Drosophila melanogaster: one gene and its partners. The gene in region 3 interacts genetically with the main gene of each other region. Each region holds a gene or a part of one and is shown on either strand. Other genes may lie near its edges.

Region 1 (8,446 bases), on a different chromosome or scaffold from region 3:
AACTGACCTGAACCGTCCCACAACTAAACACTTTTCTAATGACATTTTCGCGCGCAATTATATACTAATCACACGCAGGACCTCGGAAAGGTCCTGTAAAGGTATGCAAGAGTGTTGAGGAATGCGGCACTTGGTTATCAACGCTGCCTCGACTTTAACACCTACAAACAGATGGCTTTTTTTTTTTTGTTTTGAAAATTGACAGTGAAAATGCATTTTAGATTATCGCACTTGAGTCAGAAGGTTGGAACAGTAGGATCCCGAGTGGTTATAGCTCCTGCGGGTCCAACTTTCCCGCGGCGTATTCGGGCATAACCAGTTGGGCTCTGTCGCTTTATAATTACGAAATAGCTATTAGATAAACATCACTTTTGGTTAAGAGAATTAAAGGGAGACGCGCTGCCTACCAGGATAGTGTTGTTAGTGGTTAAAAAGGAAGTCGATCGGATGTCGCCACAGGAAGTCGCCGAGCGTTAGAAACAAATGGTAGCTCAGTCCGTTGGGGAGTCAGTCGCCTCTTGGCTTTCATGTGGGGTGCTAATTAGTTTGGTCAGGGCTGCGGAGGAAGTGGAAGTCACGAAAAGTGTTTGATGGGAAAAGGAAATGTCTAAGATCATAAGAGATGTCAAGAAAAACATGCAGGTTCGCTTGAAACTAAGATTTTTACAAACTCAAATCGAACTTGGGGTTTGCAAGAATAATTTACCTCTTAAAACATCGAAAATTAAATTAAATTATTTAAAAGTAAGCCAGTAGAATTTAAAATGAATAAAGTACTCATAAGCTTACCTCTTGGCATTTAAACCCATAATTGTACGGCCTTGAGAAGCCGTCAAGGTTCTTTATCCTGAATCTTGTTTTTAAGCTGCTCGTCAAAAGCAGAAATGTTTTGCATGAAATGTACAATTTAAAGAGGACTGCAAGTAAATTAAACAAAATATAAACTTAATAAAATATAATAAACAACATTTAAATAATATTGTAAAGCAATCATTAAAAACTAAAAATGGCATATAAACTAATTGGATAAGAGTTTCTAGGATATGGTCATCACATGCGACGCGTTTTCGAGTTTTTACGACTTCACAAAACCTATCAACAGTTAGTAAAACATTATCTGTAGATCCTTGTGGAAAAAACAACATATGATCCTTGAGGGAAACTCACACACAGCATGTGGCCGAAAAGTCTCCTTGCATCGAAAACCCCAAACAAATTTGTTTACGTGAGTTTTTCTCGAAAAACATATATATACACCAACTTTTTGCTTTTAGCAAAACGAAGAAAGAAAGTAAATATTTTTCTTTGGGGTGCAAAGTGTGTCTAAGATATTCAAATTACTTAAATAGAAAGATGGGTGGGAAGACCATTTTGGAGTTGGGTCATCTTAACAGGTAGTCACGGAATGGTCATCTTTTTATCATAATAGAATTTCCACGAGTCTCGATTGATGCCTTCTGCTGCAGTTTCAGCTTCAGCTGCTCCCCTTGAATTTCCTTTACACTTGAAAAACATAACTATACAATTCAAACAACTGAAAGTGCTATTAAATTATAGAAATCAATAGAGTTCTGTTGTTGCAAGTACGATGTATTGTTGATAAATACTTTTTTAACTCCGTAATGCTTGACTTATGAGATAATTTAATTTTTTGAGTGTACCGATGTCAGGTGCATCGCATTCGGCGCATGCGCAACGTCCGCATTTTCTAGTGGTTTACAACGCTTAATTATATCGAGGAGCCGAGTCCTTAGTGCCCCTGTTGCACCTGTTGTGGCTAGAGTTGATCGCTGACCTTCTGTTAGAACTGTAAGTATGGGTTCGATGCGATGCGGGGCAGGTGAGTAGAGTCGATGGGATTGGAGAAGGGGAGTGGAGTGGCAGCTGTTGAAGATCCTACCCCAACTAAAAGGATTCTGGCAATGTCTCTGCTGTTGCTTTTGTAACTTCAATTGACTTCCCCCTCGCTAATTGTATCCTGTCGCGTTTCCTTTTCCCCTAGCCCTACCCCTCCCTCCCCTCCTCGCTTCCTTTCTTCCTTCATTTATTTTCCTTTTTCCGTGTGACATATGGGCCTGGCGTTATATTCGCCACGATTTATGGACCTCCCTTCGGCCTACCATTCAGTTCGACACCTTTTTTTCCTACCCCATATGCGAATGCTTTTTAGCCAACGACTTTCTTTCCCCTACTTTCTTGTTCTTACGCAACGGATTGTCTATTTTCCTCACTTTTTGCCTCGCTTTTCTTTTGCGTTTTCCGGCCTTTTCTCATGCACAATATTTTGCTGTTTCCAACCATCATTTTCACACTAATTGCGGATATGCCTTCTAATTAATTGGGTTCCCTCTGCTTCCCCGAAGTCCTTTTAGAGCATTTTTGCTTTCTTAGTTTTCAACCCCCTAACTATTCTACTTACAACAAAGAAATTTCCTTACACAGAAAAATAAGTCTCTTTGGTCATTTAAGAATATGTTAAAAATCTTAAAACAATTAATAAGATCATCATTTAAATCGTAATCCCAATATAAAGATCTGGGTTTTGTAAATATTCGAGCTCAAAAAACATTATGAAACAATTTGTATCTTTAAGATACAGCAGAAACCTAAAAACGCAATAGAATAGACATTTATCTCTCAGTTGTAATCATGTTACACATCTAACATCATTTATAGTCGGATTAATGTAATCTTTTTTGTAAATCACAAAACGTCCTAAAATTAATATTCGTTAATAAGGATGCGATAATATCCTTTAGTTTTACAAAACAGTTGACAGCGGCTCTTGGCAAACAAATGACTGTATTATCGCTAGAGCAATCCAATTCTTGTCCAAATACCAGTGACTAAGATAGATTCCTACCTAATTGCAGGAACTGCCCACACGCAGGCTGCGGCTGCAACTTCCTCTAATGAAGATTAAGTGAAGAAGGCTGCGAGTTCGGGCGAAATCCGCGGCGACAGGTATACAAATATGAATAATGCCGCGGATCGAGCGGATAAACTCGGGGGTTTCCTTTGCGCACAGCGCCTAATTAAAGGTGTACGATGCATGAGTGAATCTGTTTACCTGGACGGGGTCCTTCAAGGTCATTTAACTGGAAAACCGAGTGTCGAAAATAAAGTCGACCGTATTTTTTTCCCTCATCTTCGGAATATTTGCTTTGTGCGGAAGATTTCCCACAAGGAAATGGGACCAAGTCTCGAGATACAATATGAAATGCAACTTGAGGCAATGCAAAGAAGAATGCGCAAAATGCGCAAAGAAGAGCGCAAAAAAAATTATATACAAATATGTATGTATCTCGAGTATATGCCAGACTATATACATATGTACATATGTAGAGGGAAAACAGGTCTCGAGTTATCCGGCGTCTTCAACTGTCTGGGCCTGCAATTTTTGTGCGTCCTTTTTGGGCTGCATTTTGGGCTCCTCTGCACATGCGGCGAGATACATTCCTGAGATACTCGAGATAAAAATGCACATGCATCTGGGCATTTGTGGCGTTGTCCATGCCAATGCCGCCTCCTCTCCATTGTTGTGGTTTGGCCACCACTCTTGCAATTAGTTGGAACTCGGTGGACCGAAAGTCTGCAGGAGTTGTGTAACAACATAGCTACATAATGCTGATAGGGTAAGAGGGTGAAGTTCATTAGGAAGATATTTTCTCAAATCGAAAGCCTAATCATATTTGCATAATATGAAACTATAAATAATACTACTAAAAGTTTAAACCAATACACGAAGATTGCTTTATAAGCATCATTGAATTGAACCCGATCTTTGATGCTTCCTTTTCATACTCATGAATGCGTTTAAATTCTAATGGTCAATTGGCCCAAGTTTGCTGTGTTGCTTCAGTCGCATATGCCCACCCTACCCAGAACTACAGGGTACTGCAAACGAGAACAGGAAAGTCGATCCTCGCCTGCGCGCATCAGTGTATCTGTGAGTCCGAGTATCTGAGTATCTGTGTGCCGGGTATCTAAAGAGCGCCGCCTGGGCAAAACGGCGTGTGAAAGTAAAGTCGGCCCAGCCGATGGAGGAGAACAAATCAAAGTTCTTGAATGGAGCGGCAGCGGCGGCGATGGCGACGGCGGCGTTCCAGTTCCAAGAATCGATGGCCTTGAAGTAGCCGTTAGGACATCGGGACGCGCTCAATTGACTATTTAGTTTATATTTAGCAGCGTCTAAAAGGATGCCCACAGCGAGTCAGCTAGCTCAAGTGGCCTGCGTCCTGTCTCTTCCCCGCTCCACAAATCGCCAGTCGGACGGACTATCCTTTGTTTGTCTGGGAATAACTGGAAACTGTTTATCATTGTTGTTTCTGCTCCTCATACATACGGCTTCACCTCATTCCGATTCCGAATCGGATTCTTCTGCCGCAGCGACAAAAATGTGTATGGACTATAAAAAAAAAATGCCCACATATACATACATATGTACATATGAACCATTTATTTAAGGAGTTACTATTCACAACTCATCCTTTTGGAGAACATGTAATATTTGTAAAACATTCCGCACTTGTAATTGAGAAATATTGTTGGTATTTTACTAGGAATTCGGGTTAATATGGCCAGTTGATATGTGTGGATTCCTATAACCATTTACGTATGTATGTACATATGATGAGAAAATATTCGAGATCAGTTTGGGTTCCCATCTCGTCTAGAAAATCCTTTGATGACATACCGCTTTCGAAGGTGGCAAGCACTTGGAGGATCATGAGCAGAATTGAAAGGTGTTGACTAGGATTTGAATAGATCATATAAGGAGTGTTTAGGTGGGTCAAACAAAAGAAAATGTTGGGAAAATATACAAAATTCACGACACTGAATCATCAAAAACTTGATGCTCTTACTTTTTTCAAAATCACTTCTAAGAAAAACAATTTATTTCCCCATGGTTTAAACTGGCCAAATCTAAACATAAGCGGCTGATTTTCGGCACGATCATGACATAATCGAAAAATTAAGTATACAAAAATCCACCCCATCAACAATACACCACCCACCCCCCACGCACACCCCCGCCGCGATCGCTCCAAAAGTTTAACGGCGCAAAAAGCGAACACGCAAACTAAAAAACGTCAAAAGAATGCAAAAAATAAAGAAGAAAGCAAAAATTGCGAAGAAAACAACAACAAAATGAATGTGGCAGGTAAATGGAAGCAGAGGAGAAGAGGAAAGAACGAAGATGGCGCGAAGCAAGGTGGAGACGAAGGGGAAGCGAAAGCAAAACGCCGAGAAATATCAATGAACTCCATTCTCCACTTGGCAGTCTATCTCGCTCACTCATTGGTTGGGAGCACGTACATAGAGTAACTACTCACAAAAATAAATATAACCACGATTTTACAATAATTAAAATACTATTATTAATTCTACATATGTAAACATACATACATATGTATGTACGTAGATTGTGGGTAAGGGCTAAATGCCACTACCAATCTTTTTCTTCGTGTACCAAAGATATTTGCGCCACTTTTGACATAATTCATTATTTTGTTCTTCACTCGTTTACTCCATTTTGCTTTGAACCTCTGCTTCGTGTTCGTCAAGTTTTCGAAAGGTCCGTCGACTGATCGGCGATTTTCCGAATTTTTTCGACGTCGCAGTCAAATGCTCTCTTTTTTTCCGTTTTAGAGCGCAGTACTAAAACGTTTTTGTTTGTTGTTGGTGTTGGGAAGGGGAAAATAACTTGACTCGCTGTTCTGATTGGAATAAAACGGAAGAGAGCGAGAGAAAGAGAGCTTACTCTCTCTCTTAGCGAGCGCATTTCTTCCAAGTTTGTGCTTGTGTGTGTGTCATTGGAGGAAGCGTATAAAAATGAAATGAGCATGGGAAAAGAATGGAGAAACGCAAAGTGGCGCGAATTAGGCGTTTGGGCTGGGGCAGTTTTGTTTTACCGCCCAAAATCTATGCGAATGGCGGGAAAAAGTGCAATTCGGGCGGGAGAAAGATTAGAAAGTTGGCCCAAACAGCAGGGTAAACCATAAGCTGCATCTCAAGCCTTCTATAGTAAGAAAAGCTGTAATAGTTCACTGAACTCCCGTTACGCATTAGAAACTCAGTGCACTTTTAGACGTGATTAGAAGCTTTCATTTATTTCATAGGATTTTCCAATTTGTTCCCATTGGATAACGGTTTAATTCTAATAGGACACTTTTCCTTATAGGGGGAACACTAAAACACTGTGTGGGGGAGACAATTTGTAGTTGGACACCCCGTCTCTTGCCAATCAGAAAGCAACGGTTAAATCCTACAGCGTGTCAATTTTCTTATAAGAGGATGTTGTATTTGTAGCAAAAAATGCAAAGACACGACGGCAAACGCAGCATTCTCTCCCGCTCTTTCCTTCACTGTTCCACACACACTTGTCACCGCACACGCGTCATAAATTTTATTCCACTCTGAATAACGTATTGCCTTTTATCCACTAAAACCATTGTGCAATTGGTTTTACCTTCTAGTAAGCGGAAAAATGCTTAACATAATATCCCCGGTGTTTTCACTTGTTTTTCTTAAAGGGAATTGAACAACGTTTTTCGAGAGTTTTTCGTCGTCGTCGTCGCCGGCCACGAAAAAACTTCACGAGCAGCGGAGCGGCGGCAGCAAAGTGATCGCTTTGGAACCGAAAAAAAAATTGGTGGAACTGGGTATCAAAAGCAGCGACGTCGACTGCGGCGAGTGTGCATGAGGAACGCGCCAAAACAGGCGGATCCGAAGCGCCAAAAAATGCAACAAACACAGGGGGCAACTTTGTTGTACTCTAGGGGAGGGACGGAGATGGGGCGAGCATCTCCAGCGCAAAGAACAGAGCGTGAGAAAGCGAGACGGGGCGATGAAGCCGCTGGTGGCAAGCTTGGCATTTTATTGAATGGAGTCTGCAATTGGAGTCCCCAGTCCCCAACAGGCTAGTCAGACTACAATTGGAGGTTCGACGTCCAGTCAGCTGGGTGGTCGAAAAACAGCTGACGAGGATGCCAGAAGGGCGGATTTAGTCGGATATATCGTGGTTATATATAAATACCTAAGATTTATTTCTATGTCATATGCCAATTTTAATTCAAATATGACCTTCAGAAAATAAATATTTAAATTTTAATATGAAACTATTTTTTTTAATATATTTTTAAAGCGCTCCAAAATCAATTCAAGGTTAAAATAAATTTATCTTGAAGGGTATTCATAAATCTTTAAAATTTTAATTATTTATTTATTCTTCAGAAGCCTGAAATTACATGGTTTAATATGCTTTTCTAGTAGTTTTTATGAACTGCAGCCAAATAACATATGACAAGATGACTGAGGTCGAACTAGGTGGTAACGCTGCTTTGAAACCAAACAAACCACTGCCACTTTGTTGTTTTCATCGATTAACATTCGAGCATTTTTGGCACCAACTTCGAGCGCTTATAAATCAGGTAAGCTAAATGAAAAACCATGCGTGCCTATAACCAATTGAAAGATCAAAACTCGCAGAATCTGATTTTTCACTAAAATCGAAAATCCCGTTCAATTCGGCCAAATTAGAATCGATTGAACTTGATGATTTCCCGCGCGCGGGAACCCGACGTCGGCGCGCGCTGCTGACAGCGATGACAGCTGCGCGCGCAAAGAGAAGGCGCGGAAGAGAGCGCGAGAGGGGCAGGGGAACAGAGAGAGAAAGAGGCAAAAACGTCGACGTCGCTGCTCACGTTTTTTTTCCATTACTTTTCGACTGCTACAATATCGATGGAGAAAACGGGGTCTAAAGGAAATGGCTTAAAAAGCAAGTTCACGAACTTTTGAACCCTGCACCTGCTGCAAATCGAATGGGCCAATTGGCCGGCATCACTCACCTGCTGTTGGGCAGGATTCGGGCAAATTCTCAGCGGGATTGCACACTGAAAAACACACGCGGACTGGAATGGTGATGAAAAAAATTGCACACACCGCCGCACACATACACACGCACGCCAGCCAGCAAGACAGTATAGCCTCCTTTTTGTCACCTTTTTCGACAGATTTATCGTGGTTCTGCGGTCTTTTTCACGGCTAGCTCAACCCCACGGCAGTCAAGGCCAATTCGATGCGATCCCCGCGATTTTTCAGCGACTCCAAAGTAACACAATGATCGCAAGTGGCACTGTGACGAGATCGAAATCGAGAGAGCGATGAAAGAGCAAAAAAAAAGGCCATAATCATCTGGCCACACGGCGCAAAGAGAGAGTCGGAGTTTAGTGGCAGCGGCGTTGCCACTACGGCCGATCGCGTTGCGGGATTTTTATTGGCGCGTTATTCAAATTTTGAAAAATAACTTCTATGTTAGCCTGACTTTTACTGCTCTGCATATTTAGTTCACTATTTTTCCGGGCTGATCATATCTGGAAATCGGGTATTTAAAATAATAAAAGATGTGCAACGTGCTTAATGTTAAATGGGGTTTTAGAAAAGA
Region 2 (8,462 bases), on a different chromosome or scaffold from region 3:
AACCCTTTGTTAACACCATCAGCCCTTGATTTTTTTATAACCTGTGGGTACGGCATGGGCAGGCTAGATGTACAAACTCTCCAGGAACTCTCGTCGGACCATCTTCCTATTCTGGCTGTATTGCACGCTACGCCGTTAAAGAAACCACAACGCGTACGACTACTTGCCCATAATGCTGACATAAACATATTCAAAACCCATCTTGAACAGCTGAGTGAGGTAAATATGCAAATTCTGGAGGCGGTGGACATTGATAATGCCACAAGCCTTTTCATGAGCAAACTAAGTGAGGCTGCTCAGCTTGCTGCACCGAGAAATCGGCATGAAGTAGAGGCCTCCAGACCACTTCAACTTCCTCCCAGTATATTGGCACTGCTCAGGCTAAAACGAAGAGTTCGAAAAGAATATGCTAGAACAGGTGATCCCCGCATGCAACAGATCCACAGTAGACTGGCCAACTGCCTGCATAAGGCCCTTGCTCGAAGAAAGCAGGCCCAAATAGATACCTTCTTGGATAACTTGGGTGCTGACGCGAGCACAAATTACTCACTGTGGCGTATCACGAAACGGTTCAAAGCTCAGCCCACCCCAAAATCAGCAATCAAAAATCCGTCTGGTGGCTGGTGTCGCACTAGCTTGGAAAAAACTGAAGTGTTCGCTAACAACCTTGAGCAACGTTTTACACCCTATAACTATGCACCGGAAAGTCTCTGTCGTCAGGTTGAAGAATACTTGGAATCGCCCTTTCAAATGAGCCTGCCTCCGAGTGCTGTCACACTGGAAGAAGTGAAGAATTTAATAGCCAAGCTGCCACTTAAGAAAGCTCCTGGAGAAGATCTTCTTGATAATAGAACCATTAGACTTCTCCCAGATCAAGCATTGCAGTTCCTTGCCTTAATATTCAACAGCGTTCTTGATGTTGGCTACTTTCCGAAAGCTTGGAAATCGGCGAGCATAATTATGATCCATAAGACTGGAAAAACACCGACAGACGTTGACTCGTACAGGCCCATCAGCTTACTCCCATCTCTGGGTAAAATTATGGAGAGGCTGATCCTAAACAGGCTGCTCACATGCAAGGATGTTACCAAAGCGATTCCCAAATTTCAGTTTGGCTTCCGGTTGCAGCACGGTACTCCTGAGCAACTACATAGAGTAGTGAACTTTGCTCTGGAAGCTATGGAAAACAAGGAGTATGCAGTAGGTGCCTTTCTTGATATTCAACAGGCATTTGACAGAGTCTGGCACCCTGGGCTCCTGTACAAAGCGAAGAGGCTGTTCCCGCCGCAGCTATATTTGGTTGTTAAAAGTTTCCTGGAAGAACGCACATTCCACGTCTCTGTTGATGGGTACAAATCATCAATCAAGCCAATTGCAGCTGGAGTTCCTCAAGGAAGCGTTCTTGGCCCAACCCTATACTCAGTTTTTGCTTCGGACATGCCTACTCACACACCAGTCACAGAGGTAGACGAAGAAGATGTGCTCATAGCCACCTACGCTGACGATACTGCTGTGCTCACGAAAAGTAAAAGTATCCTGGCTGCCACTTCTGGTCTACAGGAATACCTGGATGCATTCCAGCAATGGGCTGAGAACTGGAATGTGCGCATCAACGCTGAGAAGTGTGCCAATGTGACGTTCGCCAACCGAACAGGTAGCTGTCCGGGTGTCAGTCTGAATGGGAGACTGATCAGACACCATCAGGCTTATAAATACCTTGGTATTACCCTCGATAGGAAGCTCACCTTCAGCAGGCACATCACAAATATTCAGCAAGCGTTCAGGACCAAGGTTGCTCGGATGTCTTGGCTCATTGCACCACGCAACAAACTGTCGCTTGGCTGCAAGGTCAATATTTACAAGTCCATATTGGCCCCCTGCCTGTTCTACGGCCTGCAGGTATACGGCATTGCTGCGAAGAGTCACCTTAATAAGATCCGGATCTTACAGGCGAAGACCTTAAGAAGAATTTCGGGGGCTCCTTGGTATATGAGAACAAGAGACATCGAACGCGACCTCAAGGTGCCCAAATTAGGAGACAAGCTCCAGAACATCGCCCAAAAATATATGGAAAGGCTTAATGTACACCCCAACAGCCTAGCAAGGAAGCTAGGAACTGCAGCTGTGGTCAATGCTGACCCTCGGACTAGAGTCAAAAGAAGACTCAAGCGACACCACCCTCATGACCTCCCTAACCTGGTTTTGACCTAGAAAGTCTTAGTTTTAAAATTCATTAGAATAATCAAATAAATAATAATTACTATGTTATATCAACTATTATAATTCTCCCTATCATTTTTAGGATTAAAAATCTGTTAGTCTTAAGTAACCAAGACACATTGTAAAATAAAATAATTTAAGCAGATCAAATTAAGTTGCCGCATGGGTAACAGTGCGTTGATCAAATAATAAAAACATCATCGAAAAAAAAAAAAAAAAAAAAAAAAAAAAGACAAATGTAATACAGTGCTCAAATATACAAATATTTAAACAAATAGGCTTGTACCAGCTTAACCTAAGCGCTCCTGATCTGAAACTTGGGCTGAGTGGAACTTATTTGCCTTTTGCATCGGCGACTGCTAAAGGCAACTTTCAAAATGCTGACGACGAATTGAAAATGCTCATGTTCTGCAATGCACCCTATATATGTAAATGTATACATATGTATGTATGTATATACAGCAAGGATATTTCTTGCCCATCATCATAATAATAATAAGGTGGCACAGGAAGGCGAGAATTACCACTGTCAAAGTTACACAAAGGTCAAATGGAACATTATGGCTTTATTTTGCGCCTAATAAATCTCATTATGTCATTATATGCTACTCCCCCAACCGCCAGCCCACCAACGAAAAAAAAAAAAACAAGGAGGAAATGGTCTTTGGTCGAGGAGATGGTGGAGGTGGTGGTGAGGTGTGTGCGTGTGCCTGCCAGCGTGCGTGTGGTGAGAAGGTGAAAGACAATAAGAAGGAGCAAACGGAAAGGAAGAACAACTACAACAAAAGGCAACTGACTATAGGCGAACGACATGCCAATCAGTAATCAATCCTCAGGACCCCACCAAAAACAATTTGCAGAGGCATAGCAATAACAAGAGCAACAAACGCAATAACACAAACAACAACAGCGGACAAGTGAGAGACCACACGACGGCACTGTAAACAAATTGGAAAGGGATGAACATACATAACTGCGCAATATGGCGTCGGCAGAGCAAGAGAGCGGGAGAGGGCACTAAGAGCGCACGAGCAAGAGCGAAAAAGCCGCCATTAAAGAAATGCCGCTCAGAGACCGTTTGTGTATGTGCATGGGAATGCCAGTGTGTGCGATGTAAGCAGTGGATGTGTGTGTAGAAAATGCCGCAGGGTTGTCAAGTGGCTGAGAATATTAACAAGTAAATAATCTTTTTATTAGTAAATTGTAACTTTATTGCTTTTAAGAGTTTGAAATCGCGATAACTATATCAGAGAAGCATTCGACTAAAAACAAGAATTCTTTCGGAACCATATAATTACCGAAATGTATTTGTTATTTTTCCCCATATAGCCGACAACCCTGCGCGTTGCTAGCCAACTCTCGCCTCTCAATTTATGCGCTTTTGTACGCGTTGCTCCTTCGGTTCGTTCGGACAGCACGGATAAAACGCTGTCGCCAAACAAAAACATAAAAAACACTGAGCGGATCAGGTTCTATCTTTAATTAAGAAAAACAACATCCCAAAAACAACAAGCAAGAAGGACTAAAATCTGTGGAAAAGAAGTAAGCAAAGCTGTTCCCCAGTGTGATTTCCTCATGTGCATTTAATGTAATTCAACTCGACAACAAAATAATAAGTGTTGTTGGCCTCTCGCTCTCTGGTCGTACCGCGTATCTGTGTGTGCGTGATTTAGTGTTTCGTCGCGTTTCAAGCAATTAACCCAAAGCAACGTAGAAATGCCAAAAACGCATTAAAAATTATTACTCGTAGCTGTCTGTCATTCACAACAGAAAAAAAAAATGAAAAGAGAAGAGTAACAACAGCAACGAGAAGAAGGAGGAGAGCGACAATCATACACAAGTGCTATTTGCCGCTACTCATAAAACAAATTACCCACTTGGGCCTGACTTGTGCGTGCGTTTGTATGTGTATCTCTGTGTGTTAAAAGAGCAGCGTAATCATCATCGCCAAAAAAAAAGGAAAAGAAAACTACTAAAAAGTAGTAGTAAAAAAAGAAAGGAAAAGGAGACGAACCAAAATGAGAGTGTGGCACTGGCAATATGTTGCTGCCAATAACAACAACAGCAACAGAAGCTTCATCAGTTGAATAGTACCGGAATAAAATTACTATACAGCCACTGCATGTGCTTGTGTGTGTGTGTGTGTGTATTGCGCTCTCCCTCTCTGTCTCTTTCTTTCTCGCTCGCACTGCCAGCCGCTGTGTATGTGCAAAGCTTTTTTATGTTTCGCACAAACATTGCGGTAAAAGAACGCCGACAAACGACGAACCCGTCGTCGCTTTGTCGCTCTCGCCAATTTCCGCGCGTGTGCAAGGTGAAGTCGCGTCGCGTCAGTCCGTCGGTCGTATAGTCTCTCTTCGTGTCCACTTCTCCCCTCGCTTGCCGTATCTCTGTCGTGCAACAACTCCCCCGTGTATTTTTTTTCTATGCCCCAAGCTCTGTTCACCGCCTCTCTTGCTATGCATGTACACGTGTATGTGTGCGGTGGAGCAGCTTCTGTTCTGCCAAATACATATGTACAGGCGGAGAGAAGGCAAAGGCAACAGAGCTTGGACACGCGCTCCCTCTCTCGTCGTCTCCCTCCCTCGCCTTACTCAAAGTGCCGTTTTTTCGTGTATTTGTAGAGAAATAAAGAAAAAAACAACAACTAACCTCATAAAAAAGTTCATACATTTGTCGCAAAAAAAAGAAAAATAGAAAAGAGAAGCAAATGCAAAAAGTGTCAAAGAAGTGAAAAACAAGCAGAAAAAAGAAGCAGCAGCAATAGAATCCAGCAGAAGCAGTGAAAAGCAGAAAGAAAAGCCAAGTTTGACTCTCTCTCTCTTTCTCGCTCTTACATAAATGGAAAATAATTCCTGAGATTGCGCTGCTAGGAAAATTTTGCGGATTTGCATTTCACCTTCCGTTAGCTCCGGGAGCTGGGAGTTTGGGAGTTTCTTTTGTGGATTATTACGCCCTCTCGCGTGCTCTCTCACTCTCTCCCCAAACCCCCCTCACGATAGTCGCTCACTGTGGGTGCGAGCAAGCCAGGAAGCAAAGGAATCATCACCTGCCCATCGCCACCCACTGCTCATTGCCACCCGACCCCCGAGCCTTCTCTTCATCTTTTGGATGCTGTCTATAAATCGGGAACGCGCATATTCAGAGCAGAAATTGCGACTATTTTGGATTTATAAAAAGGTAAGTTACAGTAATTATTATCGAATTTAGACTATCTAATTAATTTAATTTACAATTGTAATAGAGTTAATAAACAAAGAGCCAACATTTAGCTGCAATAAAATCTCTATTGTTTAAGTTTACACATCTCTAAGATACTCCACACTTTCTCTCTTGCTCGCACAGCACAGATACCTATTGAGTCAGAAGGAGAGCAAAGAAGAGAGGGAACGAGAGGGCATGAGCCTAAATTGATTTCCAGTTTGATTAATTACCGCACAAGTATTCGTGTACACATTTTTTTTTTTTCATCGAGTTAATGCCAATTAAGGCGTTTCAATCTAAGCCGATTTGTAATTAAATGGAGTTTTTTCTTGTTATTTCGAGCGATTAGAAAATTGACAGGCCGGTTGGTGTGCTTGGTTTTTTTATTATTTATTTTTTTTTTTTGTATTTTGTTTGTTACCTTTTTGAGATTTATTGAAGTGGATTTAATTTGGGTTTTTGTTCGGCACCAATGGAATGGAATTTCGTTTTGCAAGCGTAATGTGGGAAGACAAGCGGAATTCGCGGGTCATCAAGAAGAGCGATGAGAAAGGGTGCAGCGGGGGGCATGGGAATCGTTGTCGAAATGGAAATGCGAATCGGAATCACGCTCACCTAATGAAGCCTGCGGCGACGCGTCAAGCGAACCGAATGGCAAACAGCGCGCAGCCGAACGATGAGCGATAAACAAAACAGTGGAGCGGGGGTGGGGGTGCAGGTGGGGTTGGGGCATTGATTGGGTAAGGAAGGGAGGGGGGCGTCACTGGGCGTGTTTTGCATTTACTCGAATTATGAAAATGAATATCGGGTGTATGGTGCTCTTTTTCCAAATGGAAAAGTTACATTTCACTTATTTCCCTTTCTTAAAAATATGATGTTTCTTAAGTGAAAATATTTAGTTTTATAAAAAATATTACTTAAAACCTACTGGTTATAAACTAATACTATGCTAATCTTTCACTGCCCACCTATCCATTTGGTCATAAATTAAAACCCATACAAAATACATTTCCTTAACGAGCATTTCTACTTGATTATACTGCTTATCTGTGCAAATTTAAATTCGCTTCTAATTCCGGAAGCAAAATCTCCGTTGCCTTATCTTAAGTTTATTTAAATTTAAGTTTATATAGTTGTAGATAGGGTTGTTGTTTGCGTTTCTCGTTTCGTTTTGTTTGCTCATTTCTCGATTTAATTAAGTAAACATTGCAGACGCATTTCGGGTAAACATGCCAAAAGTGTTTATTTAAACAACTGTTTAGTCATAAATGCATAGATACACTTGCCGATATGCACACATAGCTACAGATACGCACACGCAGATACAATTAAGCGACTATTAGGCAGCGCTCTCTTGGCCCGGCCATAACACTAAAATATTTTACACAAATGGCCGGTACAAAGTAAACCGCACAAGGGGGCTTTATAGAGGGGTGTGGTATGAGAAGGGTGGGGGGAATCTGGCTTCCAGTGGCGCACACAATCGTGACGCCAACTTAGTTACGGTCATTAGCACCAGCAGCGCAGCAGCGAGCGAGCCGAGCTTGTGTGTAGAACTGCATGCACATAGATATGGAAACGAACTCGGGAATATGGCAGCACACTCATATTGCTACATACATAACAATTTGTCACACTGTGCGCCGGTATAAGTTGGCAACAAACCGTCAGATACAGTTGATATTTGGCCAAAAGAACTTTAAAGTGTCATAAGCCAGCTAAGCTGTGAAGTCAAGATAAAGTTTGTGGCAAAGCTTTCTTAATTTTGTTTAAATTACTATTTGTATCTAATATATATAATGAATTCCATTAAACAATTTGATATTTTCGTATATTTGTATCTCAATTGATTCAATTACGGCTCTTTTTGTTGGTTTTTTTTTTTGAACACACTTCACTTTGCCTGTTGGCTTGCCCCACGGTAACCGCAACTGCCGCAGTTGGCGGCCAACAATTGCAGCCAAGAGCCACGTTAACCGACTTTGGTTTGCGCATTTGCCGAGAGCTCCAGCGTAATTGCCCCACCGTCTCCGTCTCTTTCTAGCGCACAAACAGGCTTGCTCTTTTGCACCCACAGCAAATGTGTCAATTGGCTGACAAAATATTATACGAATATAATTACAGTGTTCATAATTCGTAGCATGTGCGCCCGTGCTGTTGTTGTTGTTGTTTTTACTGCTTTTGCTGCATATATATTATTTGATTTGTGTTCTTTTGGCTTTTAGCGAGCGAACGGTAGTTACAGCAAAGCTATGCCAATCTGGCATTGGCCCCCGTGTGCAGACATTTATTTGTCCATTTGTCAGGGGGGGCCAAACAAATGCCAGAGCCACCGACTTACTGGGGCCCCACCCAAAAGGCAAGGCACGATTAGACTTAATTGATTTGTTCAATTTTCATAAAACGCCCCGACAGTGACAAACGTTGCCTCGTTTCCGCCCCCGCCCGACCGTCTTTCCGTTCGTCTGTCTGACTTTCCGCCTGTCTAACTGCCTATCTGTCCGCCCATGCGAATTAGCATCGAGCTCGAAGTTTGCAATTTCAATTTCAGCTCAGTTCAGTTCAGTTCAGTTTCAGTTCCAGCAGTGTGAAAATGGATTATATTCCGTTTTCTTTGCACTGACAAGCGATAGCCAACAGGGAATACTCTGTGCAAATTGAATTGAAACCTTTTAATTTCACGGAATTCGATTGGAATTGATTCGATTTATTATATTTAATTAAAAAAAAAAAAACAAGCTAAAAGCTTGTTATTTGATTACACAATTCCCAAATGCATTATCTTATTGATAATAGAGCTAAGTGCTAGAGCTGCATATTGTCATTTACTTAATTTTAAATCAGTTTTATTCGCTTAGAAAGAAAAAAAGAAACCGCCATTTAAGTCTGTGATTTATTGGCACTTAACTTATTTTGAGATAAGATAAGTACAGAAAACCCAAAAAGTATAATCGTATAGTAAAACTCATTAGTAGAAAAAAAAGTAGTACTATTAATCATTCGCTTGTTCTAGTTTTCGAGTTCTTAAGCACTAATAA
Region 3 (7,574 bases):
CGCCAGGACTGCAGGACGGTGGCACTCACGTAATACAGGGTCAACATCGCAGATTTCTGGTGGGTACTGCTTCCTCCGCGGACTCAAAGTTTTTTGGGGACTAATTCAGAAGCCGGGGCACAACTTACATATTGATGGGAACCAAAATCAATGGCGGTTTCGTAATTGGCTCCGATTTTGCTCGGCTGGCGGATTTATCGGTTGCCCAAAGGAGCGCTTCCTGATTCGCCGTTTTTAGCCAGTTGACACACTTTCTGCATTCCCTTGTCCACTGACTTTTATTGTTGATTACTGCATTCTCCAATTCCAATACTCCAATACGCGTATTCCAATATTCCAATATTCTCTATCACGAAAATTAGCGCGAGCAGAGTCGAATTAGAAAATCAAAATAGAAGATAAACTAACTGGACAGTGCTGCCGGCCCGGCGGCTTTCGGTCATATCTGGCGGGTTTTTTTTTTGGCAAGCGTACGTTCGTGTATTTATTTCATTTAATACATTAGGCTTAAAAATAAACCTAAATGAAAACTAAAAGACACACGTATATTTTACAACATCTAGCCTTCCTTACATCGACCAAAAATAAAATAAAACCACATGCACAGAGAGACTTGTGAATTGAGCAGAACAAAAATTATAGCATCACCATAGGGATGCTCTCGTGACGTGACTGTGCGTTTGTACATCACTAGCTATGTCCATTTTTAGTACACTATCGGCGCACGCCGCTTTAAGTTGTCTTCAATTGGCAATAAGTTAGCAAATTGATATCTCACGATTAAACAAAGGTACCCAAAGGTGACCACGGGAGCGGCATGCTGTTGGGCGAATACGACACAACCCGGCGACTCCTTTTCATCGTGGCCGTTCTGCTGATTGTCCTGTATGCGAAGACGTACCTGCTGCCCGGCGAGGATTTGGTCCACAACTAGGGGACTACGGCGTCCCTGCAATAACCGATCCAATTGAGAAGTTGGCGCGATGACGGACCGTAGGGTGTCGTACTTCTACAACGCGGACGTGGGCAACTTCCACTATGGAGCCGGGCATCCCATGAAGCCGCAACGCCTGGCGGTCACTCACAGCCTGGTAATGAACTACGGACTGCACAAGAAAATGAAGATCTACAGGCCGTACAAGTGAGTTGGCGGAGAGGTGTGTCTGTGCCGCGTAAATTATACTAATCCGGAATTCTTTGCAGGGCCAGTGCGCAGGACATGCTCCGCTTCCACAGCGACGAGTACATCGCCTACTTACAGCAGGTGACTCCACAAAACATTCAGTGCAATTGTGAGTTGAAGAGGAAGTCGCCCAATTGGAATAACATTTAGAATAATCTGATAATTTTCTGTTCTTAAGCCGTGGCCTATACGAAGTACCTGGCGCACTTCAGCGTAGGCGAGGACTGTCCCGTGTTCGATGGCCTCTTCGACTTCTGTGCAATGTACACGGGTGCCTCGCTGGAGGGAGCCCAGAAGCTGAACCACAACCACAGCGACATATGCATAAACTGGTCGGGCGGACTGCATCACGCCAAGAAGTTCGAGGCAAGCGGATTCTGCTACGTGAATGACATCGTCATCGGCATTCTGGAGCTGCTTAAGTACCATCCTCGGGTGCTCTACATCGACATCGATGTGCACCACGGCGACGGGGTGCAGGAGGCGTTCTACCTTACGGACCGAGTGATGACGGCTTCGTTCCACAAATACGGAAACTACTTTTTTCCCGGCACGGGAGACATGTACGAGATAGGCGCCGAATCGGGACGATACTACAGCGTTAATGTGCCGCTAAAGGAGGGCATTGATGACCAGAGCTATTTTCAGGTGTTCAAACCCATAATTTCTGCCATTATGGACTTCTACCGGCCCACGGCTATCGTTTTGCAGTGTGGCGCGGATTCACTAGCTGGAGATCGACTAGGTTGCTTCTCCCTGAGCACCAAGGGACATGGTGAGTGTGTCAAATTTGTGAAGGAACTGAACGTACCCACATTGGTGGTCGGAGGCGGTGGCTACACCTTACGGAACGTGGCCCGCTGCTGGACGCACGAGACCTCGCTGCTGGTGGACCAAGACATTGAAAATGACCTACCCGCCACCGAGTATTACGACTTTTTCGCCCCCGACTTTACACTCCATCCAGAGATTAACTCACGCCAAGATAATGCTAACTCAAAGCAGTATCTTGAACTCATCGTTAAGCATGTGTATGAAAACCTTAAGATGTGCCAGCACTCGCCCAGCGTCCAAATGGTGCAGACCCCGCCTGATGTGGACTTGGAGGAGCTGCGCAGCAACCGGGAGGAGGCGAGTGATCCCGACGTGCGAATATCCGTAGCCGATGAGGACAAGCTGGTTGATGCTAAGAACGAGTTCTACGACGGCGATCAGGACCAAGACAAGCCCGATTCGGCAGAAAGTTAGTATTGGATAATGTAGAATAAGGATTCGAGTTTAGCGTAAGCAGTAAAGAGTATCAGCTTATTTTGTAACATCGTTTGGAACTATTTTTTTTGGAAGTAGCGCGTAGAAGACAATAGGTTTTAAAATCGACAGACACACATTTATTTGGGATGCATAATGGTACTTAATAGGAGGATTACATTAGTGACACATTGCTGGATCGGCGGAAGATCACCAACCAGTTGTGGTATTGGCCAGTCGTCGCATTCTGCGCGTGTTGCGGTCCTGGTCGCGGATTTTCTTCTCCATTTCGGCGTCGGTAAGCGTCTCTAGGAATGGCGCCCATGCGTCAGCGTCGCTGGGATTCCGGAAGGGCACATCAATCGTTGATAGAGGGGCCTCGCTGAAGGCGTACGTTCGACAGTGCCACGATAGCTGACCCCTAATGCTGTAGGCAATGGCCGTAACAAACTCTCCTCCCAATCCCAATTCCGCACAGAGTTTAATGGCAAACTCCTCGGGGTTGTTGTTCTTCTCGGACATGTCCCACTCGACCTGGTCGACGAGCGAGGTGTTGCCCACGTGAATGTTCAGCTTAACAATGACCCGCTGGTCGCAGGTCTCCTCGAGGATGGGGGGATCGTTGGGAAAGGCTTCGATCTGCTGTCGGATGGCCTGTGCAATAGCCGGCACAAAGGGCAGGGGATTGAGGTCCAGGTCGTCGCACAGCACCTCGGCAAACTGCTCCGGAGTAATCATGCTCTCGTTCTTGTTCCACGTGAAGGTGTCGCGCAGCTTTTGACCCTCTAGCTCCATGTCCAGTCGAATGGGCACCAGGCACTCCTTCTGCGCCGCATTCTCCAGGCTAGCCGTGGGATCCGTGTCGTCGAAACACATCGGGAATGTGCGAACCTTCTTCGTGTGCACTCGGTTTCGGTTGATTGGCGTGGCCTGTGGCACTGCGTCCAGGTGGCTGGAGTTCGGCATCGTGGGCACATACTGTGGCTGCTTCTTTGACTTGCTCTCCCGCGGCACTGGCGTATCGGAAGTGTTCACGGAGACGGCGCGATACCTGGGACGGAGATTCATGGTTAGTTAAATCAACTGTTAGCAAATTGACTGATTGGCCCTGCAAGCAGGCAAAATTTACCCAACATTCTGACAATAATACAATTCTCCGTGCTCAATTGGAAATCGTTGTCAATCATACAGACTATTGTGGCAGCTTTGCCAAAAATGTCTATGACATTTTTCCATATTTTTTCAAAATAACTGGGCAGTGTGTGGCTATGTGTGTTTGTATACGTCTTCACTTCAGAATGATAAGTGGTTTTTAACTAAGTGGTCATTAACAATGTTACTAAAATGAAGAATCTTCAGCCAAATGTACACATGTCTTATATTTGATAAAAGGATTACTTGATACCATTGGATTAAACATTTAAAAACAAACGTTTAAGTAGGACTAGTAGGAAGTAGATATCAACGAAGTTAATTGGAATTTTTAGGAAAGGCCCTATTTAGTTACTATTCTGGGGACATTACTTAGGTAAGACGCCCACTTACTTTTCATCGTTGCCGGCCATGATATCATCCACCTCTACGGCGCGGAGCAGCGATACAGAGCTGGCTAAGATGTGGGAGCTGAGGCCGGACTCAGCCAGCCGCTTGCGCTCCTCGTTGGACAGGACGATGCGGGTCATTCCCGGGTACTTCTTGTACAGAATGCCGCGGAAGTGGCGCATGTAGTTGCCCACTTCCGAGCCCACGTAGTAGTACTCGCCGCCCTCCTCCAGCTGGAAGGCCACCGGCTTGTCCCCGTATGTCTGCAGTGCCATGTTGGGTATATTTTCTTCTGTGGTCTCTCAATGCCCTGTTTCTGGCAGGGATTCCTTGTTAATATTCCGCGACTTAAATTTTCTTGGCGCATACACAAACACAGACATGTACATGGCGTCTATTGCGGGAGTGTTGGAAAACGAGCGGGTGCCACCAACGCAATTTAGTACTGGCGCCTTTTAGCTACAAAACGCTAAATAAAAAGCTGAAAGTATTTTTCGTTATAATTACTCGATTAAATGATAAAATTATAATTCATAAAGAAACATATTTAGTTATTATTATTTTTTTTTAATTATACATCTCTGAATAAATATAGAAACAACAAGAAACAAATATTATTAAAATGTATAAGTTAAGTTATAAGTTATAAAATTATATTTACGGTTAGACTGCCATCACTGCCACAAAAACCCGTGCAACACTAGTTCCCATGCGCGAAAACATATTCGTTACTTATTTTTAAGATCGCTTTAAAGATGTCATTCTTACGCAGTGCTGTTGGTCTCCTGGCTCGTGTCAAGCTCTTGGAGGGCTCACCGACTGGTGAGTAACCCGGATTCACCTAATGCCAGTCAGTAATCGTGATTTTCGGCAGTGCAAACGAGGCGCCACATCAAGCGATGGGTTTCGCCAACGTTACGTGAGCTCGCCCACCGGCAGAAGAAACTAGGACCACAAAAGCCAGAGCGGCGTTCTGGGTTCGTGGAGTGGAACCAGCGATCGGAGCTCTTCGCGTTCGGCAAGCGTTTGGGCGAATCCTTTGAATTGTCGGAGCTGCAGCGTGCTTTTACAGAGAAATCGTTTGCAGAGCGGGAGGAGGATCGTCGTCGGCAGCTAGGCATTGAGGAGTCTGACCTCCAGATGCCTCACAATAGCGATCTGGTCGAGAAGGGCCAACAAATTGCCCGTGCCTACGTTGAGGCCTTCCTGCAGCACCAGTTACCGAAGGTCCCTAATGAAGGACTCCAGGCGATCGCCAGTTATCTACTTAGCACCGAAACGCTTGCTCACGTCTCGACCCACCTGGGCACAAAGGATCTGATACAGTCTACGGAATACCCGCCCTCGGCCGAAAGTCAGGCCAAATCTTTACACGCAGTTATTGGCGCCCTGGCCAGTTCCAGTGGAATCGAGAGGGCTTTCATTTTTGTACGCGATTTCATCTGCACGCAACTGAATCAAAAGGACCTGTTGGAGGTGTGGACTCCCCAGGAACCAATCCAGCTGCTGGAGAAGATATGCCAGGAGCGAAAGCTGGGCGAAGCGGAGCCCCGCCTGCTTGGAGACTGCGGAAAGAACACTGTGCTAGCCGCCTACCAAGTAGGCATCTACGCCAACCGGCAGCTACTGGGCAAGGGATTCGGTGAAGATGTGAAAACAGCCACAGAGACTGCGGCACTCGACGCTCTGCAGAGCATCTTTGACACCCGCGACAACCGGAGACCCTTTGACTTTGCCATTCAGCTAGAACCAAAGACCGTGCGACTTGGCTGAGAATCAAAACTGGCTCTGCGTCCTTGTTGATTATTGTAATTTGCACTAAACACATGTACGCATGCATTGTCAGAAAAGATTGCGTTTTAAAATCATTTAACTACGGGTGAACAACTGCCTCTTAATCGCTATCGTCGCGCTTTTTATCGTGGGCACTGGGCGTGGCCGGTGTGGGCGTCCCTAGGTCGTCCGGCTTGCTCTCCAGTGAGAAGGGCGGAATCTTGCAATCGAAGGAGTATCCGTCTTCGCGCTCCAGCCGGAAGGTGCCCCACATATGGCCGCTGGGAGCCTGCAGGCTCACATGGCTGCTGTACTGAAAGGCGGGCAGCCGGGGGCTCAGAATGGGCTCCTGGCCCACCACTCCTCTTCCGCGCACCGTCTCCAGGGTTCCAGACAGTGAGAAAATGCGCCAGTGGCGCTCGCGCAGCTGCACGCTCAGCTCGCCGAGGTTCTCCAGTCGGATGCAGTAGCGCCACTGGAAAGGTACTTTATGACGTTAAACTAAAGAAAGGAGTTTCTTATTAACGCACCCAGTAGACCGAACTAGCAGGCGTCTCCCGGCAACCCATGTAGAAGGGAATCACGGTAATGCGCACGTTCTCCGTGGTCTCCTTGTGTACATCGCTCATGTCCAGCCAGGGATGGTTCTTCTCCTGCCACGCCTTCAGAGTGTCCTGGCCCACAAATGGCGGGTCCGCGTCCGGAGCGTGCGTAAGGAACTTATCGAACAGCTCGTGCTGCAGCGGACTCTTCTCGCTGGAGCTGTAAGGCATGATGTCCTCGTGGGCCACGTAGTCCAGCCCGGGGATGGCGTAGAGGCTGCGGTTGGAGTCCTGGTTGCCGAGAAAGGTGACCGCCTCGGTCTGGGCGCGCTGAAAGACACGAAATGCCAACTTAGAAAACGAAGGAAGCAAAACTAGACCCATCTTACAATGTACGGGCAATCGCGGGTGTCTATGAGCACCTGATAAAAGGTTTGCACCTTGCCCTTGACCTCTTTGGGATCCACTTGGGAGGTGGTACCCAGGTTTGTGGTGCCTGTACTTTCAGCCGCGTTCGTCTCAAAGGCGGTCGAGGTGGGGGCATCGGCGCTCTGAGCGGTAGCAGCCGTTGGGGAAGCGGAGGTGTTGGCCTTCACGCGGAGCGAAGCCTCTTTGGTGCGGTTCTGCTGCGTCGGATTGGCGCTCGTAGTCGTGGTGGCGCTAATCTTGCCAGGATTGTGCAGATCCCGGTCGTAGACGCGGGCTGTCCAGGGGAAGAGTATAACGCCGCGGTAGCCGAAGATGCGGTGCAGGAATAGTTGGCCCGTCTCGTACCGGTCGTCGCGGGCATCCACCAGGCGACCCACCTCAGCCAGTCTGTACAAATGACGTGTTATGCAATTTTCAGGAGGATTCAGGACCCCACTCACTTGGTCGGATACACCGCCTGCTTCTTGACGCCACGCCGCAGCAGGATGTCCACCCTGTGGAGCATGGGACATCGCTGGTCCCACTTGAACACTTGCACCAACAAGCTCATCGCGGCGCATCCAAAGTTCGGAAAGCTCGGAGACCCGTGGAGCACCTTTTCGAGTTCGGAGCGGTAGCTGCGCGCGCGGTTTATGCAACAATCTGCAGCTTCTTTCGGCGATCAGTTCTCAGGTTCGGTTCGATCTAGCAGGGCACATGTGCTTCTAAATTTTGTGGCTGTCTCTAAAATCCCAACATTGTTATGAACATTTTGATGTTGTTTTCGGCACTGAAAAAAAACTCTATGCGATTGCGCGAGTCGGCGATAACCACATTCGTTTGTCGATAACATTTCAGGGGCAAATCTGTCAGAATTT
Region 4 (8,615 bases), on a different chromosome or scaffold from region 3:
ATGCAGCAGGGCCATGCAATTGTTTTTGTGGGAAAATGCAGTTTGGAGCGCTCATATTTTGTATTTTACCCTCATTTTTCCTGGTGCCAGCTTTTAAGAGTTGTTAGCCGAGTTTTTGTTTGTTTTCCAGTGTGTTGGGCACACAGTTGTGGCTAAAACAATTGTAGTATTTGGCTTACTATGTTAACTTTAGCTGAATAAGTTGAACATTATATATTATATTATCTAAGCACATTATACGTTTTCTTATAGATGTTATGAGAATAAATATTATTATTATAATTATTGGGAAGCCTGTCCTATTGAACTGACCTCAAGTGTGTTTTCCCGAGTTTTCCCAGTGCCTGCACTTGAACATTGTTGCTTTTGTTGCCGCCCACCTGCGCCTGTTTTTCCTCCCCGTGCAGTTGTTTTTAAAAGTTTTTTGTTTTTCCCCCCAGCTGCCTGAAGGAACATTTTTATGGCCCCCATGTCCTTGCTTTTGTTTTTTTTTTTTTTTTTGAGGGCGTGGCAGCAGCCCGAGAACAAGTGAAATAGAAAACGCAGCGAACCAGTTTTTAAAGTTTTCCCCCAAATGCGGAAAATGCCCAGCTTTAACCATTGAACTCCCGCTTATCATCGATGTTCTTGCCAGTATTTTTTTGTATTTTTTTTCGCCTTTTCTATTCCATAGTTATAGTTATAGCTGTGGCGGAAGTTGCATACAATAACAATAACAAAACGAGTGCAGGAACATTGGAAAAGTTTTCGAAGGAGGGTGGGTGGTGGTGGTGTTGGTTGGGGCAAGAAAAAGTTGCGTTGTTCGGAAAAGTTTTTAGCGTAGTTTGAAATTCTTTTCGTTCGCTCTCCTCTCGATTATATGTCGAGTTCTTTTCTGCGAGTTTCTGCTGTAGAGTTGAGAGCTGGCAAAAGTGAGTTAAGGTGCTTAAGTTTTGCCGTCTTTATTGTTCGTCGCTTTTTTTTATCTATCCTAGTATTTCTGTGCCAGTTTTTCAGCCAAGGAAAAGCGAGCGCCGCGGGAAGTAAACTGCATTAAAGGGGCCAAAAATGGGGAACAAAATTAGTAATAAATCCAGCAGTGAAATATGAAATCGCAGCGAGCCAAGAAGCACGCTGTGCATATTGCAACGGATGCACATAATTCACATTTCCGCAACTTTTGGCTGGCCTTTGACGCAATTGGAGTTACCAGGGAAATTGAATTTTTTAAATTTGCATCGGGCAAACAAACAAGATGGAAAGCGGAAACAGCGCTAACAAAAGCAAGAACATAAATCCTGCCCGAGATGCAAAAACAAAAACACGGCAAAATGACAGAGAAAATGGAATTTATTAAATAGCATTCCGCGCAATAAACTCTTGCAGCAAAAAAAAAAAAAAAAACGAGCACAGCAACAAAAATCCACACACACACACACACACACACACACACACACACACGATCGCATAATCAAATAAAACAACTTGGACATGCAATTTTATGGCAGGACGTCGTTTTCCTTTTGGGCACCCTTCTCCTCGATTCCATTTCAGTGGCCCCCAGTTCAACGTAAACAGACGCAAAAACAATGGGGAACGAGTATAAAATGGTATATGTACGAATCGGAATTAAGAATACCCTATCGGATACGCACAGTATCAATCATCTATGGATGTGCGATGAATCGAAATATACAAGGAATAAGGAACATCTTATGGAGATCAAAAAACCGAATGGTTTTAAAATGCTTAAAAGCATGCAACATTTGGAGTTTGAAATCAAATAAGTTCATATATGTTTTATGTTTTTATTTAGAGTATTTCACCATTTTAACGAAGTTATAAGCCCTATTGCTAGGGTATTCAAAAATGGGATTAAGCCGAGAGGAGAATCGCAAAAAGACCGCTCAACATTTTTTCCATTAAGGGCGCCCAAAAAATAAAAAAATAAAAAAAACCGGACAGCTAAGAGGGGCTCAGGGATTTGCGGAGCTGGCCATCAGCGCATTCAGGTTTTTGGGACCTGCTGGACACAAATTAAACCAAGTGAAGCCAAATAAAAAGGTTAAATTAATAACCGTAGTCGCTCTTTAAAGTTCAAGCCAAATGCTATCTGTATGTATGTGTGTGTGTGTGTGTGTGTGTGAGTGCCTGTGCGAAATGCATATTTGAATATTGCATAAATCATCGCTTTTATTTCGATTTTTGTTTTATTCGCCATGCGGTTTGCTTTTGTTTTCTGCAAAAGCGCCTCATTAAATTACCATTTTAATGATTATTTAATTCCATCAGTTGGACAAATATAATAATTGAATATATATTTTATATATTATCTTTGCAGCCCAATAAGTTGTCAATGATAATATCTTAGGATTCTGCAATTACGTTCGATGGCAAACTTCAGCATTTGTATTTAAAATCTCATAAATTATTAAAGACTTTTAAATTTTATCTACATATGATGTAAGGTAGATTCTATTGAGATTTTCCGTATCAAAACCTAATATTTTGAGTAGCATTTTGTAAATGCCGTAAAAAACGTCTTACTTTCGTCATGCCTTCACTTAAAAAGCGTCAATATCAGTATCATTCAGATTTGCTGTACAGCACTTGAAATTCCTCGATTGCTAGGAATTGTGCAATCTTTTATTGCATTTTTTTAGAAATAGTTAGGTCGCGGCGGATATTTGTGATGGAAACCACACGAAACCAAACTGTCTGGTCTGAATTGATTTAAATTAATTGAATTTTAAAGCGAACCGGTAATCGGCAACCGGTTTCAACCGATTCAAGGCGAACCGTCCAATTGAGCAAACGGTATTTGAATGTTTTAACTGATTGATGTCAGTCGATATGGCCTGATTGTTCCGATACTGACCTGTGCTCCGGGTGCTTCGGCCTATTCCAGTTGACTCCGATTAATCCAACTCATGTGCCTGTTTTTGTGGCGGAATTATTGGGCGGAAGAGGGGATTTACGGGAATTAAAGCCGATTTGGGCGGATCGAAGGGACTTAACTTCGGGGCAAACACATTTGGTTTCAGGCACTTGTCTAGACTTTCCTCGGCGTTTCTCGGTGTTTCTTTCGGTTATCACACTCTTTATTCTAAATTTCTTCACTTGCTTTTGAAGCTATTAAGAGCACTAGTGGATTTTCAAATTTTGAATTGAGCATTCACGGTATTCTTCATGGTTTTCTTATAAGTTTCACTTTACCCATGTTAAGCTGGTAAAAATAGGGTTTCGATTTTATGTTTCAGTTGTGGCTGAACAATCTAGAAAGAATTTCAAAATTTTCGGTCACTATTACAGGTTTAAAATAAGAAAATGAATTTCGCGCAAGTTAGATTTTATTTTATTCTTATGTGTTTCAAACTTATAGTTGTGTTTATAAACTTTATCACATCGCTTTTAACAATTTCAAATTTTAATGGGCTAAATTTGATGCTTATCACTCTTAATTTCTGCCAGTGCATTTTGATCGCATTGTAAACATTTTTACAGAAACAAGAACAACAAATTGCGTTTCATTGCCACAGTGGTGGTCTCTGCGCCGTCGTCGGCAGCGACGTCGACGTCGGCTGCGAAAGGCGACACCATTTCACCGGCGACTATTAGCAGCAAGTGCGAGAGAAACGGACGATGGCGATCGCACAATTCCACACAACACACACACACACACATACGCATAGGCTGCAACTGTTGCAGCAGCCAAAACAACAACAAGACGGCTAAAAAGCGAGTGTTTTTTTTCGATTTTTTCGCGCTGCGACCTTGGAACCGTTAGCTTTTCAAGCTGAACTCTTGGACTGTTAAGTTGGCTGCCTTTTTAACACCTTAATAGCGCTTATCCAATTGTTTGCCTTTTGCTTTTGTTGCTTGTTGCTGCCGTCGCTGCTCTGCCGCTGTCGCTGCTGCTGCACTGCCTCTGCCGGCGTCAGCTGCTCGCCTGCGTGTGTGTGCGTGTGTCCGTGTGAGTTTCCGTTTGTTTTGTGTTGGGCCTTTTATTTTGTCGTGTTTTTTGTGCCCACCGTGCAATTGCAATATTTACGGATTATTCGCGGACCGTTGAGCGATATATGTGCGGTTTTTTGCGCGGAGTTGGATCGGCGGAGACGACGGAACAGCGATATATAATTGCAGCAGTTGCAAGAAGAAGAGCCAACCAGCAGTGGCTGCCAGTGTGTGCACACTGCGCAGCAGAATTGCCACCTGGCCGGCGGTGTTGCCACATCGCTGGATTTCGTGCTGCGATTGTCTGGAGTGTAAGAAGAAGAGCAGTGGATCAGCTGTTGCTCACAAGCGGCTCAAATTGAGTTATGTGCTAACGCGTTCGTGGAAGATTTGGGCGCGCAATTCAAAAATGTAACATAACGGGATTTAAAGATTTCAATTTAAATAAACTTTGAATCTATAATAATCTATTGTTCGAATTAAGCGTCGAAGTAAAGTTTTCAAATAGTATACTTTGCGTCACAACTCAACCCAAAATCAGAACATTGTAACAGAAATAATTAGGTCTGAAAATGAACTCAATAGTGATTTTTATTCTGCACTTTTTCTTGGGTAAGCAATTAACATATGTATAAAATAAATTCTACTAATGAATTTTCCCTGCCGGCTTAGGAATCACACTCGGAACAGCTATTCCCAACGAAATAAGTGTGAAAATGGCAGTGCCAAATAATTCTGTTACTATGAAAACCGAAGAGTTCCTGCTGCAAAACGAAAATATTCCCTTTGGTCTTCAGAGTATTCCGCATTACTTAAAACATCTCATTACAAATGTGGACAGGGATATCCCGGGAAAGAGAAAACCGAAGATTACTCAGTACTTCAAGCTGAGTCCAGAAATGGATAATTTGCAGATGATGCGGTTTCTTATCGAGACCTTTGGCAGATTCATTGGACTCATTACATAGGCGTAGTATGTTCTTTTTTGATATATTTTCCAGCTGTGAGAAGAATTCCAACGCGCTCATAAATAAGAAAATGAAAGGAGAAGACGATGAGGTTTTGATGATTTCAAATGAGAGGAACTTGATGAGATTTTTTGGTCAAGAGCATTTATTTCGAATTCAGTTTTGCAACGAGGCCAAAGGAGAAAAGAAATGAAGTATTAAAACTGATAAATGATAGAAGAATTCGTTAAGGAAGAACAAAGAAATATGCCACAGAAAGCTTTCAACTAAAGACGGCAAGAAACGAAGATTTGCTTTCCAAATAATAAACAACAGATAACAAGGTACATTTAAGGTTTTTTCATTGGTTTCTTTTATATGTATATATATATATATATATATTTATATATATATATAGATCTATGTATATATAGTATAACATTGTTAACATTTACTATTGACTATGTAATATCCGCTGCAGAGATACTTTTCGTGTTTCGTGTTCTGTTTCAGTTTCGGTTTATGTTTTTCTGTTTGATTTGCAGGTACTTAGTACTACTTTGCTCCTTGGGTTTGCGATTATTGTACGCTTGTCCTATATATACACACGCTATAACATATAGTTTTTTAATAGGTATCCATGGTTAGATATATGAGAATTTGGGGGGCTTCTTATATAGGTTCCTTTGGGTAGGGTGGAATACTAAAGAGTTTAGGCGTTAATAAATACATCTCGAGTTTTAGTTGGTAAAATTGCTAACATTTAGTAAGTAACTATGTTGTACATTCAAGGGCTACATCGTATAAGGTATCGCTGATCTATAACGATCGTAAATATATCTATGTGTATACAGTATACAGTGTGTATATGAATATGAAACAATCTGCAGTTATAGATTCTAGGCATAGGCTATGCAGTGAAGTCTTAGACGAGTTTAAATAGCACTTTCTCGAAGTTCGTACATCTATAAATAGTAAATATATGTATATATATATATATATTAGGTATATATATATATCGTGTATATGGCTACTCTGTAGATTAGAGTTACAGCTAGAGTTAGAGTTAAAGTTTCAGTTGCTTATGTCGCTAGAATACTTGAGTAAAGATAGAGCTAAGATTGTTTGAAAGACTGACTACGCCGCTTCGAATCGATTTCAAACCCACGTTGCACGTGACATGTTGCACGTTGCACGTGGCATGTTGCACGCTGCCAGTTGCTTGCTTGCCTCGTCGGTTTGTTCCCCTTTTAGGTTGTGGTCATAGAGCACTAGTGAATCATGTTGGTTCTCAGACAATCGGCACGCACACCCATTCCATCAGCCGGAACAGCAGCGAGCACAACCAATTCTAGGCGGCCGTCGTAACCTTCGGCTGTCCGCCAGGTCCGGTTGCTCCTGCTCCTGCTCCTGCTCCCACTGCCATGCCGCCAACTCCCACTCCTGCATCTGCGCCCGCCTCGAGGGATGCGGGTGCCGCCGAGATCTCGTCCAGCTGCTGTTGGAGCAGCTGCTCCTCCACCTGGCCGTCGCCCATGATGCTGCTGCTGCTGGTGGTTGTGGCGCCGCTGCCGGTTTGGCTGGTGCGCAGCTCCGGCGGCAGATAGATTTTGACCACGCTGGTGATCTTCACCCGACAGTTGGGACAGTTGCTGCATCTGCAAGACAGGATTAAGGAAGTTAGTAAGGATTCAATGGGAGCACAAGGCTGCAGAGACAACTCACCGTGCAGCGCACTGGGCGCAGGCGATGACGTGACAGCACGGATTGAACACTGTGTTGATGGCGCGGTCCATGCAGATCTTGCACTGCATGGCCTCCGAGATGCGCGTGTCCACGCAACGCTCAATCGCCGCCTCACGCGCCTCCTTCTCGCGTATGGCCAAATCTATCTTGCCGGCCATGGAGCCGCCGGCACCAGTCGTCAGGGCCATGGCCCATGGGCTGACGCCCGGCTCGCCGACGGCAGAGGCGCCCAATCCTCCAGCGACAGCAGAGCATCCCTCGGCTCCCTCCGCCACCAGATCGCCGCCCCGCTCGTGGAGAGTCCTCCTCGCCTGGTCGTGCACCTCGCGACACGTGTGCTGAATGTCGAAGACATAGCGCTTGCCCAGCTCCGTATTCTCCATGAACATGGAGGCGATGGTGCCCTTGAGATCCCGGGTAAACTGATTGGTCACCACTCCGCGCACCTTGTCGCACACGTAGAAGGCGTGGCGCTCCGTGATGGAGCGGTACAGGCCCGCGGCGATCGGCTGCTTGGGCAGCTTGATCTCCAGCTCCTTGCGATCGTTGTGGTCATCCACGTACTCCAACTTGAAAGTGCGACGCAGCGACTTGGCCGCAGCGATGGCGCCAAAGGGGATGCTAAACGAAAAGAGACACAAATCCATTAGTTTTGAAAAACTTAATTGAAAAGAAGAAAAAAGGAAGTCGATTGGATTTATAAGCTCTATGCATTTACAAGGCACTTTCAAATCAAATGGTAACTGCGCATTTGGTTATTAATCATTAAGGTTTATAGCGCATAAAGTGAGTTCTATTAAAAATGTTACCTTTGACGCTAATTTTGCGCTACATTAACTTGAAGCCAAAATCATTTCGAAAGATATTGCCAAGAAGCGACTATAAAAATGCCATTGAATTATTCAGGTTAATGTATCATCCATCTACTTATAAGAATGTTGTTTTCGTTTTGAGCAACTTTTTTAAGGCCTCTCACCTTGACTTTTGTTTATGAATACGAAATTACTCAATTTGGTTTTAGTAAAAATATGAATTAGGTAAGTTAGAAGTGCGATTAGCTATTAGAAAACTCTATGATTCTATCTTTCTTTAAGCTCATAGTTGTGGTAAAAGTGCCTTGTGAGTTTTCTACTTCCGGTTATAGAAAGTTTGATCGTATCCTTGGTGTCCTGCAACTCACCTCTGTTTCTCGCCCCCCCGGCAGACGGTGATGCCATGGGCGCCCACCGCAATGTCGCAGCGCGTGGCACTCTCGTTGGTGGTCACGCCGCTAAAGAGCTCCTCGCCGTAGCCTTCGAGATCCTGGATGGACTTGAGCAGCCAGTACTTGGCCGTCTTGAGGCTCATCTGCAGCTTGGCCAGCTTGCCGTGCTCCACGGCTATTTGGCGCAGATAGTCCGCCGGTGGCTCACCCTCGCAGCTCGGCTGCATGAAGTACTCCTCGTAGACGCGGAGCGGATTGCTGGCCAGTCGCTCGTCCAGGCCCGTCTGGCTGCTGCTGTTGCTGGGGCTGCTCGAGCTGCTGTTCGAGTGGGTTTGCGAGCAGGCGGATGTGGAGGCGGATGCAGATGCTGAGGCGGATGCAGATGCTGAGGCGGATGCGGATGGCGAGGGCTGGAGACTGCAGCTGGTGGTGCTTGCCGCTGGCAGCGTACAGACCTCGATGTGCTCCATGGACTTCTGCTTGGACAGGCGGCGCTTCTTGAAGCTCAGCACATGCTCCTTCTCCTTGCGCTGCTGCTCCAACCTATGCTGCTGCGCCTGCTGCTGTTGCTGCTGCTGCTGTTGCGCCAACTCCCGCCTCATTCGCATCGGGCAGTCGGCCTTCAGCGACGACTCATTGAATCGCAGACCATCCGCCTGGCAGAGCAGCGCCGCCAACTTGGCCGCTCCACTCCAGTCCGGCGCAGTGAGCCGTCCCTCGAGCAGATCCCGCCTGGCCTGCATGTAGAACAAATTACGCACGCTCTCCTGCAGGATGAAGTGCAC

The links.
Region 1: of Snr1 (region 3) and CycE, changing one suppresses a phenotype caused by changing the other (phenotypic suppression), as found in Drosophila melanogaster (3 studies listed by BioGRID).
Region 2: of Snr1 (region 3) and sbb, changing one enhances a phenotype caused by changing the other (phenotypic enhancement), as found in Drosophila melanogaster (one study listed by BioGRID).
Region 4: of Snr1 (region 3) and px, changing one enhances a phenotype caused by changing the other (phenotypic enhancement), as found in Drosophila melanogaster (one study listed by BioGRID).

What each region holds. Positions count from the first base shown.
Region 1 is NT_033779.5:15,739,983-15,748,428, forward strand, and holds the start of CycE (cyclin E), read right to left. Parts: upstream 6,629-8,446; 5' UTR 6,502-6,628; coding exon 6,473-6,501; exon of another isoform or gene 6,275-6,472; intron 5,662-6,274; exon of another isoform or gene 5,410-5,661; intron 918-5,409; exon of another isoform or gene 810-917; coding exon of another isoform or gene 790-809; intron 1-789. UniProt on the Drosophila melanogaster protein: Essential for the control of the cell cycle at the G1/S (start) transition. Targeted by archipelago for degradation by the SFC ubiquitin ligase complex.
Region 2 is NT_033778.4:18,352,438-18,360,899, reverse strand, and holds the start of sbb (scribbler), read left to right. Parts: upstream 1-3,603; 5' UTR 3,604-3,762; exon of another isoform or gene 3,763-4,844; 5' UTR 4,845-5,400; intron 5,401-8,462.
Region 3 is NT_033777.3:5,467,733-5,475,306, reverse strand, and holds Snr1 (Snf5-related 1), read right to left. Parts: upstream 4,382-7,574; 5' UTR 4,249-4,381; coding exon 3,977-4,248; intron 3,483-3,976; coding exon 2,642-3,482; 3' UTR 2,553-2,641; downstream 1-2,552. Other genes in the region: Hcs (holocarboxylase synthetase), read right to left, coding at 1-47; CG45100 (uncharacterized protein), read left to right, coding at 818-934; HDAC3 (histone deacetylase 3), read left to right, coding at 984-1,141, 1,204-1,292, 1,362-2,431; mRpL44 (mitochondrial ribosomal protein L44), read left to right, coding at 4,729-4,795, 4,848-5,746; POLDIP2 (polymerase (DNA-directed), delta interacting protein 2), read right to left, coding at 5,868-6,221, 6,277-6,618, 6,678-7,277.
Region 4 is NT_033778.4:22,557,889-22,566,503, forward strand, and holds the start of px (plexus), read right to left. Parts: upstream 4,178-8,615; 5' UTR 4,031-4,177; exon of another isoform or gene 4,011-4,030; intron 3,255-4,010; 5' UTR 2,858-3,254; intron 1-2,857. Other genes in the region: CG11362 (uncharacterized protein), read left to right, coding at 4,506-4,545, 4,606-4,901; dnr1 (defense repressor 1), read right to left, coding at 6,232-6,538, 6,606-7,247, 7,807-8,615.